3 separate regions of the Mus musculus genome follow, and regions 2 and 3 are each reported to be linked to region 1. Evidence: microRNA targets listed by miRTarBase, many of them from high-throughput screens and not tested one by one. Region 1 holds a microRNA gene; each other region holds the end of a gene's coding sequence.

What was found. Region 1 holds the annotated microRNA mmu-miR-1955-3p (GAGCAUUGCAUGCUGGGACAU, at 2,498-2,518, shown strand). A microRNA usually pairs through its seed, bases 2 to 8, with sites in the 3' UTR of a target mRNA and lowers its output. Matches are read on the target gene's strand: a 7mer-m8 pairs with bases 2 to 8, a 7mer-A1 pairs with bases 2 to 7 and ends in A, and an 8mer does both.
Region 2: miRTarBase lists Prlr as a target of mmu-miR-1955-3p. The part of its 3' UTR that is shown has no 7-base or 8-base seed match.
Region 3: the mRNA of Lyrm7 is a reported target of mmu-miR-1955-3p. Seed matches in the 3' UTR shown: 7mer-A1 at 819-825 and 7mer-A1 at 1,279-1,285.

What each region holds. Positions count from the first base shown.
Region 1 is chr2:92,189,538-92,194,157 of GRCm38, forward strand. It overlaps Mir1955 (microRNA 1955), which reads left to right and starts at 2,440; the gene lies at 2,440-2,537. The region is part of intron 1 of Phf21a (PHD finger protein 21A); the gene reads left to right.
Region 2 is chr15:10,328,583-10,332,582 of GRCm38, forward strand. It overlaps Prlr (prolactin receptor), which reads left to right. Exons shown (of 10, transcript NM_011169.5): 10 at 1-4,000. The coding sequence ends at 685. Among named protein-coding and RNA genes, the nearest start is that of Gm41269, 27 kb to the right of the region's middle.
Region 3 is chr11:54,837,034-54,841,653 of GRCm38, reverse strand. It overlaps Lyrm7 (LYR motif containing 7), which reads left to right. Exons shown (of 5, transcript NM_029327.5): 5 at 452-3,304. The coding sequence ends at 522. Among named protein-coding and RNA genes, the nearest start is that of Lyrm7os, 19 kb to the right of the region's middle.

The sequences.
Region 1 (4,620 bases):
TGCTGACTTCTCTGGCGCTGTTGCCTGTGGATTTACATGTGGGCCTAGGCTGTCTTTAGAAGCATTCAATATGTTTTGATCACATTAACCTTACCAGGTGTGTATTTTTGGTGCTTTGCAATTTATTTTTAAGTGGTGGTGTGTTAATATGACATTAGACTTACTATAGACTGTTCTCTCTCTTTTTCTTTGATTTTTGAGTCTACCCCCACCCCCATGAGCTTCAGGCTGAATTCAGGGCTTTGCTTTTACTAGGCAAGTAAGTACTCTACTACTGAGCTAAGTCCCCAAACCCAATTATTTCTTTTTAAGAATAATTGTTATTATTTTATGTGTATGTGTGAGCGGCTACATGTATGTCTGTGTACCATGTGCATGCCTAGTGCTGAGGAGGCCCTAACAGGTGTCAGGTCCTTTGGTGCTAGAGTTATCAGCATGTATGTGAGCTGCCATGTGGGTACTAAGATATGAACCTAGATACTCAGTAAGTACAGCAGTGCTCTTACCACTGGGCCATCCTCCCCCTCCACGCCCCCCGCCCCCCCAGATAACTTATTCCTAAAGAGCATATTTTTCCTTTGTTTGCTCCCATGTATATATAGCTATACTCTTTATAGACTTGTATATTATTCTTATCTGTGTATTAAATCTTTGCATAGTTATCATTTGAAACAGTGTTGGAATGGTTGTCTTTTTTATTTTTATTTATTTTTTTTTTACTTTTTGAGGCGAGGTCAATTTGTGGTAATCTTCCTGCTTCGGATTCCTAAGTGCTGGGTTTGCAGGCATGAATTACCATGCTCACCTCGGGATAGACTTTGAAGAGCAACTTTGTGTGTCATGGGCCACCTGACTATAGAATGGTGGCAAATCTTCCCATGTAGACTGTGAGGTTCACTCACCCCAGATTCTTTGCTGAGTAATGTCCATTCGTAGGTAGACTCTGTGGCAGTTAGAATCCATCCTGGACTCTCCCAGCTCTCAAGTCCCTCTCCTCTCTCTATTCCCCTTTCTTTTACTCAATTAATAATAATAGTTCATATACAGTCTCAGGAAATTATTTTTTCCCATATTTTGGGATGTACTAAGGCAGTCTTTTCTGCTTTTTAATGAGGAAAAGATTAAACCAGTTATATGGAGATTGGAAGGGGTGTGGCCTAGTAGTTTTATTTTGACTTTTTGGGCCTAAGGGAAAAACATAACTCAGTCACAGAGGCCAAAAAAGATGGGTTTTGTTTTATTGTTTTGGCTGCATTGAAAATACAAACTGTCAGTGCTTGAGGAACAGGAGCAGCAGAAAGGAATTGATTTTTTTTTTCCCGCTGCAGATCCAAGTGTTGTTAACCATGTGCATTTCTAGAGTGGCATGCTTACAGATCAGACAGCACTTGATTTTTCTCCCTCCACAGAACACCGAACTCTTCTTTTTAACATTTAAGTAAGTACCCTAAACTTCAGGGTAATGACAATAATTTCATGATAAAAGTGGGTGATAGTAACCATGGCAACTGCTATCTTTGGCCTTATGGACATCCTGTTGTATTGATGAAGCTTTGGATACTTGAGGAGCCTGTCGCTTCTGTGGTGAAATGTGCTAGCACGTGCTGCAGGTGACTTCTAGCTGGATTGTGTTAATCTCCGTGCCAGCTTATCTCTCCTCGTTAGGAGTTTCTTGGCCTGTATTCTACAGCATGTTTGTGAAGGTGCTGTTGCCTGAAAATAACCCACCACCTGCGGTAGGCCTCCTGATGCAGACTGCAGCCTCCTTCCAGAGTCTTAGAGAAAAGAGGGCTGTCAGAAGGAACTATATGTATGTAAACTACAGTTCAGATTGGAAGTGCTCTTAGTAGCTTACAAAAACTTTTGTAATTTTGGAAATTGGAATCTTTTTTTCTCGGAGTTCTGTAGTGTGTGTATATAGATATTAGGAGTGGTGAGTGATGGGCATAACTGGAAAGGGAGGATTTGACAAGAGAAGCGCTTAGGTGTTTTGTTGTGAGTGTGTGCGCGTGCATATTACTGTAAGGATATATTTCCTAGTGAACAATCCTAGAGTATAGCAAATGCTTGGTTATAGAATTTTTTAAGTAAAATTATTTTAAAATATATTTAGAATAATTGTTAAAGGGGACACAGTATAGTAAAAGCATCTTAGTGGGGAGATGGTAAAAATGTTGCAACTGATCCAACAAAACTTATTTTTAAAAGTATAAAATTATGTTTCTGTCATGTCAGTTATTTTTAAAGCATTTTGTTCTTACTTGAGGTTTTTCTAGTGGAAGTTATTAATGCGAATTGCTACTTTTTCTAATATGTACTAGAGAAACAATACCAGAGCAGAGAGCAAACAAATTTGATTTGAATTTGATTAGACTCTGAAAATAAGACCTAATCAGATGCGCTCCACAGTTCAGACTTTCTGAAACTTGCTGTGAAAAGCTGGTTTACTTACTACAAGTCCCAGGATGCACTGCAGCTTTTTCTTAACTTCAGATAAGAGCATTGCATGCTGGGACATGTAGTTGGTTTAAATAGCACGGAGAACTCTTTTTCTTGTCTACTCCATTTTATAAATAGATCCCTAAAACTCTAAGAACTTCATTTTTTTAAAGTTACATTAATGAAATCATACTTACTCTGTTTCTGAAATTATAAAGTGAGACTTTATAAACAGCTTGGTGTTCTGTTTTATCACAGTGCTTTTACTAGCTTTTATAAGATCTAAATGCAAAATAACATATTCAAAACTTGACTTGGAAACTGTAAGTAGTTTCTGTGCATGTGGTCGAATAGGTTATTGCAGAAGTCTGGTATCATTGTTTTCTAGTGAGGGCAGTAGATGCCTTTTTGTCAAGCCTGACACATGCTATTCCTTTTGCCCCCAGTGGGGAGAGTTATTCAGCTGGAATTATTATTATTATTATTATTATTATTATTATTATTATTATTTTATTTTGTTTTAAGACAGGTCTTTTCTGTGTAGTTTTGGCAATCCTGGATCTTGCTCTGTAGACCAGACTGGCGTTGATACACCTGCCTTTGCTCCCCAAGTGCTGGGATTAAAGGCGTGCACCACCACCACCTGGCTTGGCCTGCGGGCTTTTTATTCCCGTCTTTAAATTCAGAGTTTTGTGATGCTTCTAGAATGATTAATTGGTCAGTATTGTCTAACTGGGAGAAAATAAATGATTCAATATAATTGAATTATTTCATGTCATTTATTTTTGAGACAAAATCCTGTATAGTTTATGCTGGACTTGAACTCACAGACTTACTGCTTCAGTTCTCTCAGCTCCCACCCCTCTTTTGTGTTTTTTAGAGGCTCTTACTCTAGCTCAGCCGGTTTCTGTATCTTGTGGTCCTGCTGCCCCTGCTCTAAAAGTGCCGGTTTTGTAGGCTTGCTTTATTTCTCCCCCTGCTCCATGTAGATTGATGCTAAGAGATGCAGCCTGAAGAGAGAGAAGGAAGGGCAGATTCTCAAATAGCTTAGATTTTCGCTTGTAAAATTTCAAAACTTTGTTTTGACTGTTCTTTATGAACTCCTGTAGGGTTGTTGTAGGATTGGGTGTAGAAGTCCTGAGAGTGCTCACTTAGCTTAGTGGTTGACGTGTAGTTAAGGCTCAGTAAATACTTAGGATTACCAACAACCATTTTTATTTCAAACAGTTCCTCCACCTTTAACTTCTTTTTATGTTTAGTTTAGTTCGAAGCCCAGGTGACTTTGGAAGACTTTGTTTTGAGATTTTGGTTTCTGGTAATGATGTGGCTTAGACTGATTTGCTGTTCATTAAAGTGTCTGTGTGCCTCAGTTTCTATCTAAATGATATATGCCCCAAATTGGACAAATACGCTAGTAGCAGGATGTTGGCAGGATTTGGTTGTACCTGTTCAGTATTGTTGTACTGTATTGCAGTGTTTCATTGACTTCAGAAAGTTTAAAAGATGGTGTTAGTAATGTTTGCACTGTTAGAATTTCCAAATAGCTGATTAGTAAAAGTAAGACTCTGGAAAAATGCTCTTGGTATCATGGTGAGTGCAACCTTGGGAAAACCCTCTGACCACATCAGCTTGTGGGACTGATAGAGAGGGCTACCCCCACTCTGATCACATCAGCGTTGCAGGACTGATGGAGAGGGCCACCCTCCCCCCCAATGTCATTCACATCTAGGGTGTATTTAGAATGGAGGTTCAAAAGAATTTACATTTTAAGTATTTACATTTTTTCTTTTGTTTTAAGGTACTACTTTTATTAGGCTCTAGAATTTTTGGGATATTTTTACTTTAGCTGTGTGAGGTAAGAAGGATGTTTGAGGTGGGAAAAGGGTACCTAGGAATATTGAAAAATATAAACGTAAATTCCAGTATATGTTCCATGCCTTAGTTGGAATATGAAAAAGTCAGATAATTGTCTTTTTACCTGCTTAACTGATATCCACTCGTTAGCATGGACTTCTTGGAACATTGTCATAGATTACTGCTAAACTATTTACTGAAACTATTTCTTAGCAGTAAAGTACCATTTGACTCTACTTTGCCCTTCCATGGGAGGCTGACACCTTTTTGAAGTATCAAAAATATGTGGACTCTGGTTGGATATGCTTCTACATTGTAAATTGTTTT
Region 2 (4,000 bases), not on the chromosome of region 1:
TGAGGCAAATATTCCTCCCACCCCAAATCCCCAAAATAACACCCCCAATTGTCATACAGATACATCCAAATCTACAACATGGCCTTTACCACCTGGCCAACACACGCGCAGATCTCCTTACCACAGCATTGCCGATGTGTGCAAGCTAGCTGGAAGTCCTGGAGATACACTGGACTCTTTCTTGGACAAAGCAGAGGAAAATGTTCTAAAGTTGTCTGAAGATGCTGGAGAGGAAGAAGTGGCTGTGCAAGAAGGGGCCAAAAGCTTCCCTTCTGACAAACAAAACACATCTTGGCCACCACTCCAGGAGAAAGGCCCCATTGTCTATGCTAAACCCCCAGATTACGTGGAGATTCACAAAGTCAACAAAGACGGAGTGCTATCATTACTCCCCAAGCAGAGAGAAAACCACCAGACAGAAAACCCTGGGGTTCCTGAAACCAGTAAGGAGTATGCCAAGGTATCTGGGGTCACGGATAACAACATCCTGGTGTTAGTGCCAGACTCACGAGCCCAGAACACAGCTTTGCTTGAGGAATCAGCCAAGAAGGTTCCACCATCGCTTGAACAGAACCAATCTGAGAAAGATCTGGCCAGCTTTACTGCAACCTCAAGCAACTGCAGACTCCAACTGGGCAGGCTGGATTACCTGGATCCTACGTGCTTCATGCACTCCTTTCACTGAGAGCTAGACTTATGGACAGATTGACTAAAATGTGATTTCTCTTCAGGTTAACACTACAGAGTCATGAAGTAATGTGGTCTGCTAACAGATGTTACAGGATGTGGGTATAAAAAAAAAAAACAAAAAGAAAAAAAAAACAAAAAGAAAAACACTACTTCACTCCTCCACACGCTTGTGTTCAGCATTTGCCTCTTTCCAACAGCTGATTTCCAGAACAAATCAACTTGTTTCCTGTGATTTGTACATTTGCTCTTTGCTACCATATATATGTGTGTGCATATATATGCATATATACATGCGCATATATATATATTCAATGAAATAAAAGCACATCGCTTACTATTCTTGAGGGATGGTGCCAACAGGTACAGCCTCTGCAATAGATTTGTCATCAGACAGAAGGCATGAAATAGTCAAAATGGCCTAGCACAAGAAGATGACGGACAGGCTGGAAATGCCATGAAAATGGCTCTTAAGAACTGATGGCTAAGCCTTTACACTCCTCTTTCATTTTCATGATGATGGTCCCAATATTGCACATTTTGGAAAGAATACATTCCAGGACACCAGCCAAATTGTTTACATCCGTCCCTGTACCTTAATGACCCATTGCCTGTATGCAAATGGTATCATGCCCCCAGTGTTTTCTTAAGGTGATTTGAATATGTTAAGCCTGGGTTATTCTGCTGAAACTTTATTTTATTCTAAGGCTTCTTAAGTGTGTAGTTTGAGGAAGTAAAATTTTCATACAAAATAAGGCCAATGAATTCCACGCAGTGAACCTTTTCAAACGTGTTCCTTGCTTCATTTGAGCAAGAGATGGTTTGTTATAAACCCTAGTGTTTTCTTAGTAGAAAAAAGCGATTCCCCCAAGACTAACGATCTAAAAGGTAATCATTGCAGGATGCTAATAGAAGTGTTGCCTTACTGTACATACGATTCTACTTTAATACAAACCCGTAAGTTTAGCAATGTATTTTTGAAGACTATTTTTCTATCGCTTAAGTAAAGACTATTTTCTAACTTCCCAGTACTGCTGTTTACGTAGTCAAGTGAGTAGAGTGATTTCTGCTGCAACGTTACAGTGAGTATTCAAAGTTTATCAGTATATGCAGTCCCTGTTAGACTGAAGTGCCAGGCAACCCATTGCCCACTGAGGAATGCAAAGTAGATGAAAACCTCAATTGAGTACAATAGAGTAAGGTTTATCTGATTATTTTTATCCCTAGGATACGTTAAACAGCAACCATCACTGACTTTGGGTTTTAGGGCTTTCTATAGACCCATAACACATTTCTCCCATGAGTTTAGGGCATCTGCCCACCTATGGAAGAGTCTCCCAAACCACCATGAACAAGGGCAGTGATTTCTATGGAGGGTTTCCAAGACAGAGATCTGACTTTGTTTTGTTTCCTTTTATCTGAGCAATCCTGAACACAAAAGGATTTTAAGTATAACGAACGTCAGCATCTCCTTGGAATTCATGCATTTGCAAGATCTTGGCACAGGCTGTGCTCACGTCACAGATGTCCAGATAAAAGTTTTAGGAAAGCAAGCATCTGCCCAGTGATAACAGTTTTAAAGGTCAGGGGATGGTAGAATCTGCAAGCCAACTCCAAGGGCAGGCTTCCTGGGAAAGTTCAAAGCAAAGCCTTGGGTCTCCATTGGACCATAGCATCTATGACTCACTCTCCCTCTGCTTTGCAAATCAGTTCTCTCTTTCACCAACTGGATATAGAGACTCTGAAATCACCTCTTGTGAGTTCAGCATTCCACCCAACATGCACATGCCCTCAGAGATTCTCCGACGAAGGAAAAGAAACAAAGGAAACGCTTCCAGAACTACAAATGCAAGCAGCCAAAGCTTATATTCCTAATATATAAGACATCTTGTGAACAACAGAAGTATTTGGGAAAGTTGTCCAAGCTCATGCAATACCCTGAATCCTCCATACAGAATGTCTGAGAAACAACTGCATCTTCAAAGACACAGAGAATTGGAGTCTGAATCGTACTGCATTCACTAAGCTCCCAGGCATGCGCAAGCTGAAGAAGAAGCAGTTTTCTCTATGACCATTTTCATAAAAAGTTATTTTTCTCTCCCTCTCTTGGAAAGTATGGAGAAAAGTTTATTATCTTGAAATGAGCAACAATGTATGTAAATAGAAAACAAGATCAAAACTCTTAGTGATTTAAAGTTCACGTAGCAATGTTGCTTATATAAAGTCACACAAGACCATGACATGCAAAATACACACAACCTCCAAGAGGGTCAGTGAATCTAATTCACCTGGAAAGCTACCAACAAAAAAATAAATAAATAAACACCAAAGCCAATGCAAGCTAAACCTTCTTTGCCAAGACATTCTATCCTTCTCCAGGAGACAAATAAATGCATTTATTTACAAATCACCACTATAAAATTGATGCTGCATATATGGCTCATAGTATGAAATTTCTAAAAATTGGCTTTAGATATGTAATTTTGAAAATGTGGAAAATATGGCTATCTAAAGTCAAGTTACATTCCACAAAAATAAGTTAGCATTCATGAGATAAAAACAAATCTATACAGTTCTATACATTTATTAAATTCTTGTGGTCAAATATTTTCTATTGAAAGACAGCTGCTTGAATAAAAGAAGGCACACTAGGAGTTGAGACACCTGGGTTCTAGTTCTGTTTTGCCTTGGAAAGAAGAATTACCTATTCTAGTTTTCTTTGTATTGGACCCAATAATCTCTACAGCCTTTTGGAATTCAGTCTTCTTGATTCTGTGGCTTGATGAATAATCAAAACCAATCCCTTGCATCTCAGTGAGGTTTTCAGGCAATTATAAAAATGCAGAGCCACCCACATTCCTGTGCTCATCCTGTTTCACTCTTTAAAGTCTCAGCACCCATTTGTCTCTACATACTGAACATGTATTTCATATTATATGGACACCATGTAAGTCAGACTCTAGGATCATATGGTGATATGGGTGCTGAGGTAAGATATAGCGCTAAGAAAGACACAGGAGATGAGACACAAGTCTTTAGCCATGCTCATTCCTACATGGAGCCAACAGCCTCAAACTTCTGTTCTTGTATTTGGTTGTTGCCTGTTTTCTCATCATCCTGTTTAATGAATAACCATTGCCCATATAGATTAAAGAATCTTTTGCGCTGAATCATTTCAAAATGTATAGTTTTCTAAGCAACTCTCTGAAAAATTTCAAGTTATGAAGTACATGGAAACTAAATATATTCATTTGGATGGCTGATGGAACTTTAGGACACAAATGGCAGAATGTTCTCTGATAAGTTTTAACAA
Region 3 (4,620 bases), not on the chromosome of region 1:
TTGTTGGGAAGTGGAGGCTAGAGAATCAAGAGTTCAAGGTTAGCCTCAGCTACATGGGGAGTTCAAGGCTAGCCAGAGCTACATGAGATCCTGTCTCAAAAATCATTCATAGGTGACATTTTTAAAGAGCCATTGACAGATTAGTGTGTTTTTAGCTTAATTCCATTCAGTCATTTATTAGTTGTGTTTAATGAAATGATAAAGGATTTGGTTGTATATGTTTTTTGTAACACGAATGAAGATCGTATTAAATGTTTCCATTTAGACTCACATAGTCACCTCAGACATCAGCTGAAATAAAATGTCTGTAGAATAGTGCATGCTTCCCAAATTACACAACTCACGGTTAGAACTGCTGGGGAGACGGATGTGCCGGCCCCAGGTCTACTTTAAGATAAGTAGTGACTGGAGCTCTAACCGTCTTAACCGCTCATTTCTCTGTTCCTTTTAGAACTGGTCCCCAGGAAAGATCTTCTCACAGAAAATGTGCCGTACTGTGATGCGCCAACCCAGAAGCAGTAAAGCTTCCAGGATAAACCCATCTCTGCTCCTTCCCACTTTAAATACATACCTGGCAACGGTCCTGGACATGCACATGTTTCTCTCTGAAGCGCACGTTGCAAATGAGCGACAGGCTGAGGGCTACAGAGGAGATAGACATGCCTTTCACTGACATGGGCAACTGAAGGCCTGGGGAGGCAGGACGCTCCTCTCTTTCCCTTTGGTAGGTCTTTTGGTCTTCCAAAGCTGTTTGCCAATGAAGCACCTTACCAAATTGGTGACTTTTCATCTCATGGGACATACATAGCTAAATATAAAATGCTACATTAAATTGATGTTTAATCCCCAAAATATTAAGTTGGTAAAAAATTAACATTTTTCTTCCAGCTCTCGTCTAAAAGCAGCCATTGTTTCCCAAAGTCCCGTGGTTATTTTTGCGGCTAACAAATAATTATGTAGTGTATTTCTCTGCATTCTTACAAAGACAACGTTCCCCTTTTTGTTTTGTATGTATGGGTGTTTTGCCTGCTTAAATGTCTATGCACCAGGTGTGTATGCAGTGCCGTGCCTGCAGAGGTCAGGAGAGGGAATTGGATCCCCTGGGACTGGAGTTATAGATGGTCATGAGTTTCCTAGAAGAACAGCCAGTGCTCCAAAGCACTGAGCCATCTCTCTAGCCCCATGTAAAGACATTAGATAGATGAAATATCAAAGTCACTCTGGGTCACTGTAGTGGCCCTCTGTCAGATGGCTTGTGGTCTTTGTAGACTGCTGTGAAATGCTATAGATCTCTCTCTCTCTCTCTCCCTTTCTCCCTCCCTCCCCCCTCCCCACCTCTCTTTTGAGATAGGGTCTCCCTGTGCAGTCCTAGCCTTGAACTCTAAGATCCACTTGCCTCTGCCTCCCCAGTGCTTTACATAATTTGATCTCTAGTGTTCCAAATAAATAATAGTAATAATAACAATTGGATTTTATCAAAGTTAAAAACATTTACATAACGATTAGTGAACAATTATAGATGAAATATCTGTCATATATATGATGATTCTATAAAACATATGTTACCAGGTATGAAAAAAGAGTTATCAGACTATATAAAGGACTTCAAATATTCGAAAGCAAGCAGGGGCTGAGATGGCTCAGAGGTTAAGAACTCCTGCTGCTAGGACCTGAGTTCAGTTCCCAGCACCCTTTCAGGTAACTCGAAGCTGTCACTCCATTTCCAGGGGATCCTGTGCACTCTACTGGCCTCTAAGGGCACTGCATTTACATGTATAGACTCAAACCAACAGTGACACACAGATGCATAATAAAGGAATCGTAAAACAAGCAACTCAACTACAGAGAAGTGATTTCCTGTTTATTGGTGCCTTGCTGCTTTGTGTGTCAGCTTACTACTTGCATGCCTGGTGCCCACAGAGACCCCATAAAGGTTGTCGGATACCTTAGAACTCCTCTCTTACAAAGGGTTGTGAGCCGCCGTATGGGTGCTGGAAATTGAACCTCGGTCATCTGGAACAGTGTTTCTTAACCACTCAGCCATCTCTCCAGTCCCTCAACCCAACTTTAAAAGTAATATTTGAACAGATGCTTCATCAAAAAAGATACATGGAAGCTGTCAGGGTTGCCAGTTTTGGAACCCACAGGATGGAACGAGAGAACCAAATTCTGCAAGTTCGTGCTTCATGCACACACAATCACAGTTTTGAATTTTTTATTTTTTGGTCTTTTGAAACAGGGTTTCTTTGTGTAGCTTTTTCTGTCCTGAACCTCACTCTGCAGACCAGGGTGACCTCAAACTTACAGAGATCTCTGCCTGCCTCTGCCTCCCAAGTGCTGGGATTAAAGGCATGCGCCACCACGACCTAGCTTAAGTTTTCTCTTTTAGATCTTATATTTATTTGTATGAGTGTTTTGCCTTCATGCGTTTTTGTGTGCCACTTGCATCTCTGTTGTATTACAGATGGTTGTCAGCCAACATGTGGGTGCCAGAAATGTCACTAAGGGTCTTGGCAAAAGCACTAAGTGCTCTCAACTGCTGAGCCATCTCTCCAGCCACATTTTTTTTTTTTTTTTTTTTTTGAGACAGGGTTTGTCTGTGCAGCCCTGGCTGTCCTGGAACTCACTTTGTACACCAGGCTGGTCTCGAACTCAGAAATCCGCCTGCCTCTGTCTCCTGAGTGCTGGGATTAAAGGCGTGCACCACCATACCTGGCTACAAATTTTTAAAGATATGCAAATGACAGATATAGTGTGAGAAGTTGCTAGTACATTAACAGGCACTAGGAATTAAAATCATAGTGACATAGTTATGTGTCTATTAGAATGGCCGAAATCTGGATGGTTGACAATATCAAGTATTGGCAAGGATATGACTTTTCTGAGACAGGGTCTCACTGTGTAGCCTTGGCTAGTCTGGAACACATTATATATTTTTTTCCTTATTTTATCAAATCCCTAAATTATCCATCATCCTATTGGCTCAGGACAGATTCAAGTTTTATTGTGATGGTTGTTTTTGCACTGCTGTGATAAAACAGGTGAAGAATAACTTACGGGTTTGTGTTACAGCATGATTTCATTCCAATACCTTAAGGCGACACCTTAACAAAACATGGTGGCAGACAGGAAACACTTGGCTAACTAAGCCTGGCAGGGAGTGGGTGGGCAGGCATAATGTTAAAATGACTGTTTCTAGTGACCTACTTGTGCCAATCAGGTTCCACCTCCTAAAGGTTCCACATGCTTCAAAATAGCCCTATGAGCTGGGGGAAATAAAAACAAAAAACAAAACTGTGGGAGACATTTGAGAGTCAAATTGTAACCTGTGTGTGTGTGTGTGTGTGTTCGTGCACTTGGGTGTGCACCTGTGATTGCATACATTTACATGCTATGACATACATGGAAGTCAGAGAATAATTTGGGGAGTTGATTCTCTGGGACTTGAACTTGGGTTGTGGCAGCAAGCACCTTTTTTTCTACTAAACGGTCTCATTGACCTGCATTATATGTGTACCTTGAGTTGGAATTGTGAAGGCCTGAGGCTATAGCTCAGTGGTATGAAATTTGTCCAGTATGTACAAGGCCTGAGGTTCAATCTCCAAGAAAACCAGATGAAACAGAATGAGTGAGGATTGATAATTCTGTGCGGAGTCTGTGGAGTATGGGCGGCAATGTCCACACAGACTGTGCCTGTCTTTGTCAGGTATCCCAAGGATACCTGGAGATTCCCATGCTGCTCTGTTAATGTAAAAAAGAACGCTAGGGATGTGGGTGTGGTTCTGTTAGCTGAATGCTTGCTTAGTGTGTATGAAGCCCTGAGTTCTATCCCCAGCACTGCCTAACCCAAGTAATTCCCCGAACTTGGGGGTGGGGGTAGCAGCTTGAAGATCAGAAGTTCAAGGTCAATCTGAGCTTCATAGCAGGATTGAGGCTAGACTGATGTGTGAGACCCTGTTCAACAAATGATGAGTTTATTAGAGTATTGTCTAGGGGGCTGGAGAGATGGCTCAGCGATTAAGAGCACTGGCTGTTCTCCCAGAGGACCCAGGTTCAATTCCTGCACCTACATGGCAGCTGGCAACTGTAACTCTAGTTCCCAGTGACCCGACACCCTCACACAGACATACATGGAGGCAAAACACCAATGCACATAAAATAAAAAATAAAAATATTTTTAAATTGTTTATAAGATGTAATACACAATGTGATGTGGTTCTATCTTTTATAGTCTTTTTAAAATTCATTGTGTGTGCGCACGCACGTGTGCGTGCGTGCGTGCATGTGGATTTGTGCATGTGAGTGCAGAAGCCTGTGGAGGCTAGAGGTGTCAGATCTCCTGGAACTAAGAGTTATGTATGATCATAACCAGACTGAATTGGGTGCTTGGAGCTGAAGTCAGGTCCTCTGGAAGAGGGAACAGTGTTCTCAACTCTCCAGCCCCCAGTCTTACTATCTTAAAGAAATATAAGTGCGGCTTAAAGAAATATTAACTGGGGCTGGCCATGATCATGTACATGTTTTAATATCAGCACCCAGGAGGCAGAGGTAACCTGGTCTACATAGTGAGTTCTAGGACAGCCAGAGCTATGTAGAGAGACCTCCATCTCAAACAAAACA